Arabidopsis thaliana: one gene and its partner. The protein of the gene in region 2 interacts with the protein of the main gene of each other region in a pairwise test. Each region holds a gene or a part of one and is shown on either strand. Other genes may lie near its edges.

Region 1 (4,659 bases), on a different chromosome or scaffold from region 2:
TTTTATTTTACCATTCTCATAAACAAGACCAGAGAAAGAAGAGCAGCCAGGTCCTCCAGTTAACCAGACAAGAAGAGGGTCTTCTTCTGGATTGTTCTCAGATTTGATGAAGTAGTAGAACAGTTGATCTTCCTCTTTTTGACCAACACCAATATACCTTCATTATGTAACTCTAAAACTCAGAACACAGCGTCATACATACATTATAGGGGTAATATGGAAATGAAAATGCAGAGGAAAAGAACCCGGTTTCGAGCTCGAATGGAAGAGGGCCTTCAAAACCAGGAAGATATCTGATGATAGAACTTGAATCAGCATGTTGAATCAACACAAGCACACATTGCAGCAGCAGCAGCAACTTGAATATCCAGGAAGCCATTCTTGTTTTAGTTTTTGAGTTTTAACATTTTTTATATATACTCAAAACTCAAAAGCAGAGGCGTTGACCCAAAACAAAGATGGAATCTTTTCGGTTGAGTATGGTTCTATAAACCGGTCAATTGCAATATCTATACCCGAGACAATTCGGGTTAGTCTCTCTAACCAGTTCCAATTAATCTGTTTAGTTTTCCTTTGGATGTAAAGGTGTTTAGAGTTTGTTTTCTCCTTCAATTACCAACTGCCAACTGGTTAACGAATTGAAATTGAGGGTTTGAGCTGAAAACACTTGGGCACTTGACGTGAGAATGTACGTGGAAGGCCAGAAGGGACAAAGTCCCATGTAAAATGCTTTGCAGGTTATTTTATTGCACATGACATAGGACAAATTATTGTTTAATGATTTCAGCATTGCCTAGAAAACCGGACCGGTTGACAGTTTGAACCGGTTCAATAAATTTGTATGGGGTAATATTTGTAAAGCTAAGACTATAGAGTTCGTTAGGGGTAACAAGAATAGTATGGGGGGTTAGTTTGCAAATTCCCGTTAAATTTGTCGATGTTTCTTTTTGGGATGGTGGGTTTGTAGACAAATCGACGTCTCAGAGATTGTAATTACGGATCGTGTCTCTGCTGCTTCTTCTTCTTTCAATCCGATTTCGGACAACCTTTTACTCAGACAGGAGATTTCAGTTTTTTTCAGGTGAGCTTCTTGCTTTCTGCAACTCAAGCTCTTTTGTTTTTTGGGTTTTGTTTCTTTCCTTTTTCTTTTCTTTTTCTTTTGTTTGAAGTTTCCTCCTTCTTTGTTTTACTTTAGTCATTGGAAAGCTTACTTTTTCTCACTTTGTGATTTGCCTTTGGAAATTAAGACTTAGTTGACTTTCAGAAGCTTATAAAGTTTCAAGTTTTTTTTGTTCATTTGATGACGTTTTCAGCAACCAAATTCCATCGAATTATCTTGATGAATCCTTATGGATTTCAAATGTTAGTATGCTTTGAATTTCATGTGTCTGTTGAATTCTGTTAAGAGTCATAGATTTTGAATCCTTGGTGATGAGTTATTGGTTTGAGTGATCAGCTGCTATAAGCTTAGTTCTCGCTTGTGTTATAAGCTTAGTTCTCGCTTGTGTTAGATTTTGAATCCGCTGTTTTGTTTCAGTCCATGTTAGTACTTGAACCGTTGTCTTGCAGTGTGACTTAAGCTGGTTTCCGTGAGCCAATAACTTGATACTTGTGAGTGTGCCCAAATTCCAAACTGATGCAGTTCTCTCTCTCTGCTATCTGTTAATTTCTTTCATAATCATCTTTTCTCTTTCCTCTTGGCAGCTTTTCCTCCCTCTAGTGTGAAACTCTGCACCAGAGGTGAAAGGTTATCATTGCAAAAGGGAGCACAAGTGGATAGTGTTTGCTCAAGTATTAGTACAGAAACTAGTATGGCTGATACCAGTTCAAGGACTGATGTCTCAACTGATGGTGACACAGATCATAGAGATCTGGGGGTTAGCTCGTAATCTGGCTCTAATCATTTTATAGTTTTATTATCTCTACAATGTCACTCCTGGGAGGCTTGTACCGGAATCCCTTGGTAAAACTTGGGGCATTCTACCGGTATAGCCAAATCCACAGGACTAGTCATTTGCTTATGTTCATCAAACATGCATAGTTTGAATGAAACAGTAATTCCTGATGTTGATTACATGCAGTCTGATAGAGGGCATATGCATGCTGCTGCCTCTGATTCCAGTGATCGATCAAAGGATAAGTTGGATCAAAAGGTGATAGATTCATCTCTGTGGATCAACTAGCATCTGTGTATATTACGCATATGCATAATCTGTTTTGTTTCCTTTTCGTTTTGATCCATAGACCCTTCGTAGGCTTGCTCAAAATCGTGAGGCAGCAAGAAAAAGCAGATTGAGGAAGAAGGTATGTATATTTTGCTTTTGTTCTTGTTTTGATTTTTCTTATATATTCCTCTTATTTCCTTGTAATATCTCTAGAAGAATATCTATCTGTCATTACCTTAAGCATGTTATTGTTTCCTCCATAGGCGTATGTTCAGCAGCTGGAGAATAGTCGATTAAAGCTGACTCAACTTGAGCAGGAGCTGCAAAGAGCAAGACAGCAGGTTTATTAACTTTCTTATTTGTTTTGATTCTGATATGTATGTCTTTATAAAGAAGATAAAAGGCTGAAGCTACTTCAACTTATAACTAACAGTCAGTTACGAGTTAGTACTAGTCTTGGGTTAGCTGAAGTAGAGGAGGTAACAGAATTATGGGTCATCCATAGTTTAGTTGGGTAAAAGTAGCTGGTAACTCTCTCGAAATAGGTCCTTCTGGTCTGTTTATTCGGATGTTGATGGCATACAGAGAATTTCTATTCTGGTTCTTATCAGATTCTTTGTCATGACTCATGACAGTGTATTTGTCACTTAAGGATATATATTTTTCAATTTTAGGGAGTTTTCATCTCAAGTTCAGGAGACCAAGCTCATTCTACTGGTGGCAATGGTGGGTTGTTTCTTCTCTGTTAGTTTTGAGATTGATCCTTTTGATTTGAAATTTCTATGTGAGATAAGTGCATATATACATATATGTTGATGAATTGGTGATAGCATAAGTCATCTCATGGCAATATGCTTACACTTGTTAGAGTTAATGGTTTCAAGAGTCAGTGATGATCTGGATGGGAAATTAAAGTCATGGTGATGTCAAAACTGAAGTTTCTTATAGTTTGCGCTGGTGTTAGCTTAGGTCTGCAAGGGTTTGTTCTTGATCTAGTATACTTGCCTTTCTGCAGGGGCTTTGGCATTTGATGCAGAACACTCACGATGGCTTGAAGAAAAGAACAGGCAAATGAACGAGCTGAGATCTGCCCTGAATGCTCATGCAGGTGATACTGAGCTCCGGATAATTGTGGATGGAGTGATGGCTCACTATGAGGAGCTTTTCAGGATTAAGAGCAATGCAGCTAAGAATGATGTCTTCCACTTGTTATCTGGAATGTGGAAAACACCAGCTGAGCGATGTTTCTTGTGGCTTGGCGGGTTCCGCTCATCCGAACTTCTCAAGGTAAGCTCTTTCCAAGTCCATAGAGAGATTTTGATGAACAGCCAACTTAATGAGTCGCAGTGTTTTCACAACAGCTTCTTGCGAATCAGCTAGAGCCCATGACAGAACGACAGGTAATGGGCATCAATAGCTTGCAGCAGACGTCGCAGCAGGCAGAAGATGCTTTATCTCAAGGGATGGAGAGTTTACAGCAATCCCTAGCTGATACTTTATCCAGTGGAACTCTTGGTTCCAGTTCATCGGATAATGTCGCGAGCTACATGGGTCAGATGGCCATGGCAATGGGGCAGTTAGGCACCCTCGAAGGATTCATACGCCAGGTACTTTAGAAATGTGGATGTTATCGAGATATACCATATCTTTTCATCGTCACAAAGAGATAAATATTTTATTTTATATATGAATCCGTCTGTTATGGAGTTCATAGGGCATTTCTTGGTGGCAGGCTGATAACTTGAGGCTGCAAACACTACAACAGATGCTTCGAGTATTAACAACACGTCAGTCAGCTCGTGCTCTTCTTGCTATACACGATTATTCATCTCGATTACGTGCTCTTAGTTCCTTGTGGCTTGCCCGGCCAAGAGAGTGAAACAGAAGAATAGTGCTCTACTCAGCAGTCAGCCCTATACATAATCTTATGACTCAGATCGGCAGGGATACTCCTTCCAAGAGATCGATCACAAAGCAAGGCATTCTCAGATTCTTACCAAAAGCAATATTTTGGGAAAGAAGACTGCAGGTTTTGAAATTGGTTTCCTGAGGTCCGCAAGACTCGAGTGTTGTGTGTGTTGTAATTTTTAGCCATCAGGTTGCATAGTTTTATAGAGTGAATGTTTATAGGTCTTTGAATATTCAAAGCGGATAGGTGATCAGTGTAAGGTCGCAATTACCAACATGACAGAAGATGGGATCCTTTCAGGAACTTGGATTGTATGATCATAAACTCCAGCAGACCAAATCAATTTATATTGAGAGTTCAAAAAAGAGAGCAGATTGTGTATCTTGAAATCATAGCAAGATTGCCCAGTAAACACTGTCACACATAAAGCTTACAGAGGTTTGGCTAATACTATGTATAACCAACCTGAGTCAGAGAAAATACTCATACAAATGAAAAGATCTAATTATTTCCAGGAAGAAGACTTCTTCCAAATGTCGAGAATACAATACTGGCAAGACATATGCAAACTTGAGCAAGAACTGA
Region 2 (5,550 bases):
ATATAAAATAAATATGTGATTCCAACAGTTTCAAGTTGACAAAAAATCATATGTAAAACTTGGAGAGCAAGATTATTAAAGGTTCCTGATAGGTGGAGTTGATTATTTGACCAGTACGAATTATTTAAAAAATAGTTGATGTTAGCTGATGAATACTATATCAACAAACAAACGAAATATGATAACATAAAGTGACTTCATCGTAATAATTATATAGAACAGCGACAATAAATAAACACAAGAAAGTGAAAAGGACCCCTCCAGATCTGATCCCACAATGCCATTCTGACATATATTGTGAGATTCTCACCACGTATTATTGTACTAGTACATGAAGAAATACTTTTATGTCAGAAAAACTCGAAATTGAGTGGGTGTCACGTTTTTGAGTAACTATATTTTTCTGTCTCCAAATAAATATTCAACTCTTTCGGCGTTATAAACAAATCCTGGATATAATAGTTAGGAAAGTTTATTGGATGGATTATTTGTTTGATTTTGAAATTATTGTTTGTTGTTTGTTGTTTGTTGTTCAATCAATAATTGTAAGACTTTAGTTAAAATGATGTAATACTTCTGATTAGTACTAGTAGGCTTTCATAGGGGTTTTCACTTTCCAGGTTTTAAAGTTTTCATTATTATTTCTGATTATGTCGTCCTAGTACATGATTATCTACTTTTCGGTGTGTTTTGTAGTACGAGATGACGAGATGTCACACTCTGCAATAGAACTGTATAAACAAGACACTGAAAAAAATGTAACTTTTCATTATTTATGCAACAAAAGATTACATGAACATATAGCAAAAGATCATGCAATGAGTACTATATCTCTTAGGCTACACTCTTACACACGCTATGTCACAAGCATAATATAACAACATTCTAGTGTTCAAGAACCCTAACTCTGAACTTAATCCACTCGTGTTGGCGAGAGACTATCAACAGAAAAGCCCTACATAAATCCCAGTCGCTTAGAACGTAAGAAACAACATCTATGAAGACGAAGGAACCCATAGAGATGAAGCATACACGATTCTACCTTTCCACCCTTGAAGTAACCAGTTACCGTTTTGATCAACATCGAAGTTTTTATCGTACCCGTTTTCGATTTTCAACTTCAGATTCTGCATCAGTTCCTTCTCAAGCGGAAGCTGTCTAAATCCGGCTCGGATCAGTCTCGCCTGCCACTGCTTATATGTCTCTGGTCTCTCCACTCTCTCTGTTCCTTCACAAGCCACAACATTCACAATCTCTCTCCCATAAAACTCTTTCTCATACATCAGCCTCATCTCGTCTTCCCTAGCTAGCTTCGAGTCACACATATCAAACACAGCCGAGTAATGAAACAACGCTTCTCTGAACCTCGTGACAAAGAATGGCGCGTTGTAATTCCCGCTTAAGATCGCTGGAATGAAGACATTCGGGTTTATTTTTCTTATCAGCTTCAAAACTGCATCTCTCGGGCTGTTTACCAGAACGGTCTCATCTAGAAGGTTCCTGAAACGGAACAAAGAGTTCACAACCACATACTCTCCTTGTCGAAGCTTTAAGTCTTCGACTTGGATCGTTTCCCATTTCTGAGCAATTGCGTTGTACTCAAACGGAACATTGTGTCGCTGACAGTATCGAGCCAAGCGATGACCTGTCTCCTGAACTCCTTCCGCTGGTCTAAAACCGCGCTGAGGAAGCTCTATACCGGTAATTCGAAGCTTAGGCGAACCACCAGGTCTGCTGAGCGAGAGGCGATGAATCAGAGCAGGCCACTGAAAACCGTAAGATATTCCGAAATCTATTATGTGGATCGTGTTGGCGTTTGCAGTGAAACGCATCATGCTGTGGTTAGCAAATATGATAGCAGCTTTCTTGAAAGGGCAGACCGACATGTATGTCTGGTAAGCCTTCAACATGTCTGCTGCAGACGTTTTCTTCGAAGATAAAGCGGTGTAGATCTGTGTACCGGTCCCAGCTAAGCGTGCTTCAAGACTATTTGCAAAATAATGAGCCAACCGCTCTGAACCATTGCCTAGAGGCGAAGAATGCTCTCGTATCTGCCTTAGCATTTCGTTGGCGGTTCTACGATCATCCACTGATACAGCTTGTGCACATAACACCAAAAGAGTCCTCAAATCAGCAGTTTCTTTCTTAGAATCGTTACTATGACTAGTAGAAGTTGATTTCTTCCCACGAATCTTTGCTCCATTTGACTGTGCGGTCACGACTTTAGCGGATTCTGTAGGAAAGTTCTGGTTAAGAATGCATACAGGTTTCCCAGGGCCACATACCAAGATCTTATCAAACATTTCAGAAAGCTCGCTTTCCTCAACATAAACAGCTGATTGCTTGTTACTTCTTTCTTCAACGAAATCTTCATCTTCGTCGCGCCAATGGCTTTTCTTACCAGTTAATCTGTTGGGAGGAGGAGCATAGCTATGATGATGATGATGCTCTGTCTCATCTTTCTTCTCCGTCTTAACAAAAACCTCAGAACCATTTTCCTTGGAACCAGAATTCATAGGGATGTAACTATCCACATCAATAAAGAGCTGAGAAGACTTAGGAAGGAACTTACTAGCTTCCTCAACCCCTTTCTTGAACTGCATAGCCAATTCATCATCTTTAAACATATTCGAAACCAAATCATCGCCAAAACCTGAACCGTAAACCGCACTATTACCACCACCACCACCACCGGTGACACTGTTGGACCTAGAAGTAGACTGGAAAACAAAATTACTCGGCATAGGTGTATGTAACCAAGAAGGTCTATTCTCCAAACCATCAACACTCCAGTGAGAATCAGAGGAAGTAGTGGTAGTGGTGCTAGCGTAATCACTAAAAGCACCACCTGAACAAGAACCGTCAGGGCTATCACTAGCCAATCTCTCAGGATGATCCACAGAAGAAGCAGAAGACGAAGAAGGGTATTTCTCACCAAGAGCCTCATAGAGAGATTTCTCAGCAGCTTGAAGAGCCAAAGCGTCATGAAACATACAAGGCTTCTCTTCCATATCCTCTTCCATAAGAACTTGGCTTATATACTTCAAAACAGAATCAGAGAAATCAGCGTCATCAGATGAAGATGATAACAGATCTCCTGCTACAGCTTTGTTGTTGATGTTGTTGTTGTTGTTGTTCTGGGAGGGATATGCCTCTGGAGGATCCAAGGATGAGAAATCTAAGTCATCTAAATAGAACCCATTAGCTAAACCTAAGGTTTGGTTTGAGGAGGGAGGCAAATCAAAGTCCTTATTGAAATCCAACTCGTCCATGGATCCAGGGAATCCATCCGGATAAGAACCCATGTGGATCCAACTCCAAAAACCCAAAAATCCAGAGTCGTTAATATCTAATAAAGGTCGAATCTTTATTCTCCTGATCAATCACCAAAACCAAAAAAGCAGAGCACTGAAGAAGATGAGAAGAGAAGAGAGTAAAAATTACAAAGCAGGGAGATTTCAGAGAAGAAAGCGTACCTCTTTGTGGATTCGGCAACAAGATGACAAAGAAGAACCTTGAGTAAGAGGGAAAAAGGGTCTGTGTTACTGTGTACGCGGTGAAGAGAGAGAGAGAGACTAGAAAGAAGATGATGAAGCAGATGAAAGATAAGAACTAATTAATTGTTTTTACTCTCTCTACAGAGATAATATAAAAGAATATGCCCTTGTCTCTTTTCTTTTCTTTTAAATTTCACTCAGAAATATAAGTCGATCAGGCAACTTCTTGGGTCTATCTGTTGTCTGAAAAGAATCTTTCCGAATCAAGACAAGTTTCAATTTTCACTGTTTATTGTTTACTTTTACTAGAAACTGATATTTATTTGGAAATTTATCAATTTCTTTAGTTTTAATTTTATTTCAGATATTAATTTTATTATTTAATTAGTTTAGTGAATACGAATTATAATGTAAAGGATGTTAAGGCGATGAGATTTTATGATTCTTTTCTTTCCAAAACAGCATTATTTTTGTGTGGTGAGACCAATCTAGAAAGTACACGAATGAAACAATGTTACTTTCATAGAAAGATAACGTACTATATGATTACTGATTAGTGATTACATTTTATTTTATTTTTGACAGCAGTGATTACTGATTAGTGATTACATTTTATTTTATTTTTGACAGCAGTGATTACTGATTAGTGACTACATAAAATAGATTTATTGAACAATTTTTTGGCAAGAAAAGAAATAGATATACAAGTCACTCTATGGATACCATACCACCAAAAAAATCAATCTCAATATCGTAAGAATTTTAAGGAATATGCACAAGATGGCCTGAGATTCAAAAAGTTACTGTGTATTATGTTTTGATAATCGTTATACAAGTCACACTTTATTATTTCATAGTCATTTTACTTTTCTTCCCATATCTTATATTTCAACATTCCTGGCTGCTCACTAGTTTTTCGTTGACCCGACTAAGATAATAATTCCAATTATAAAATTTGTTATCTCCTTTTTAAAAATCATCTTAACCTTAATATATGCGGGAGAGATGGTTTGGACTTTGGAGAGACCAAAAAAAACTTGGAAGAAAATATTCATGGCCAAGAACAACGAGGATAAATTCCGAAGAGAATACATAACGAAGCCAGTAAGGTCCGTCTCTTGCGATATATGATTGATGTCGGCCTTCCTTAGTGACACTGCTAGCGCAACTGTGTTGTTGCTTTCGGTCCACAAATGGTATCCCAATCTTGAAATTTACTTAAAAACATATAATAATATTCTAGTGTTGGCTAATAATTGAACAATTTCAACAACAAAGATTATGACAATACTAGGAACTAGCAAATGACAATTTTTAAAATACTGCACTTTTAAAGCAAAATAAGACAAAAGAAAAAATTGAGAGATCAGACGATGTGCTAAGCTTGGAAGTTTGGAACAAGACAATTTCGCTGTAGCAATATCATGAATTTCTTACATTAATTGCACCTTACTTTCGCTTCCCACTAAAAGATTGGACTAATCGTAGCTTCATGAACACATCCATTTTTTTTACTTTCGTAGCCACATAGCAAACGATGCTAGCAAAAAAGTTTACTCATCGATAGGTGTCGACTTTTGAGAAAGATATGAAATAATGAAAATGACAACTTCATTTATTTCTCTCGGTTGATCTATGAGATCCTAAAGTATCTCCCATCTTATTCTCTTTTCTTCTGTAAGTGTCCAAAAAAGTCTGTTTAGCCATTGAAAAAAGTCGCATAGCTATTACCACAAAAAGCCAAAGTGAATAATTATTGGTACGTATGTTATGTTTCCTTTTCTCCTTATCAACTCTACCTTTTCTTGTCAAGGAATCTTATCAGGATCTCAATTTTGCAAGGCACCAAAAGGAAGAAACCTCTTATTACAACCAAGCACTGTGACAATTACATAGGACTTCACATATCTTCATCTATATATCTTCTTCTTCTTCTTCTTCTTTACCACACAATCCATTCCTTTTTTTTTACATTGAATCTTCTCAAATACATGCATAAAACAGATAAACAAACAAACAAAAAAGTATATATGAACGAATAAATTCCAGGTTT

The links.
Region 1: the proteins of SCL14 (region 2) and TGA6 interact in binary tests that used the Arabidopsis thaliana proteins (3 or more experiments, as listed by UniProt).

What each region holds. Positions count from the first base shown.
Region 1 is NC_003074.8:3,904,540-3,909,198, forward strand, and holds TGA6 (TGACG motif-binding factor 6), read left to right. Parts: upstream 1-1,811; coding exon 1,812-1,877; exon of another isoform or gene 1,878-1,911; coding exon 1,912-1,986; exon of another isoform or gene 1,987-2,033; coding exon of another isoform or gene 2,034-2,081; coding exon 2,082-2,153; intron 2,154-2,244; coding exon 2,245-2,304; intron 2,305-2,428; coding exon 2,429-2,506; intron 2,507-2,839; coding exon 2,840-2,891; exon of another isoform or gene 2,892-3,140; intron 3,141-3,180; coding exon 3,181-3,452; exon of another isoform or gene 3,453-3,526; coding exon 3,527-3,772; intron 3,773-3,897; coding exon 3,898-4,044; downstream 4,045-4,659. Other genes in the region: SCPL15 (serine carboxypeptidase-like 15), read right to left, coding at 12-157, 246-379.
Region 2 is NC_003070.9:2,312,833-2,318,382, forward strand, and holds SCL14 (SCARECROW-like 14), read right to left. Parts: upstream 3,676-5,550; 5' UTR 3,477-3,675; intron 3,376-3,476; 5' UTR 3,306-3,375; coding exon 996-3,305; 3' UTR 749-995; downstream 1-748. UniProt on the Arabidopsis thaliana protein: Probable transcription factor involved in plant development.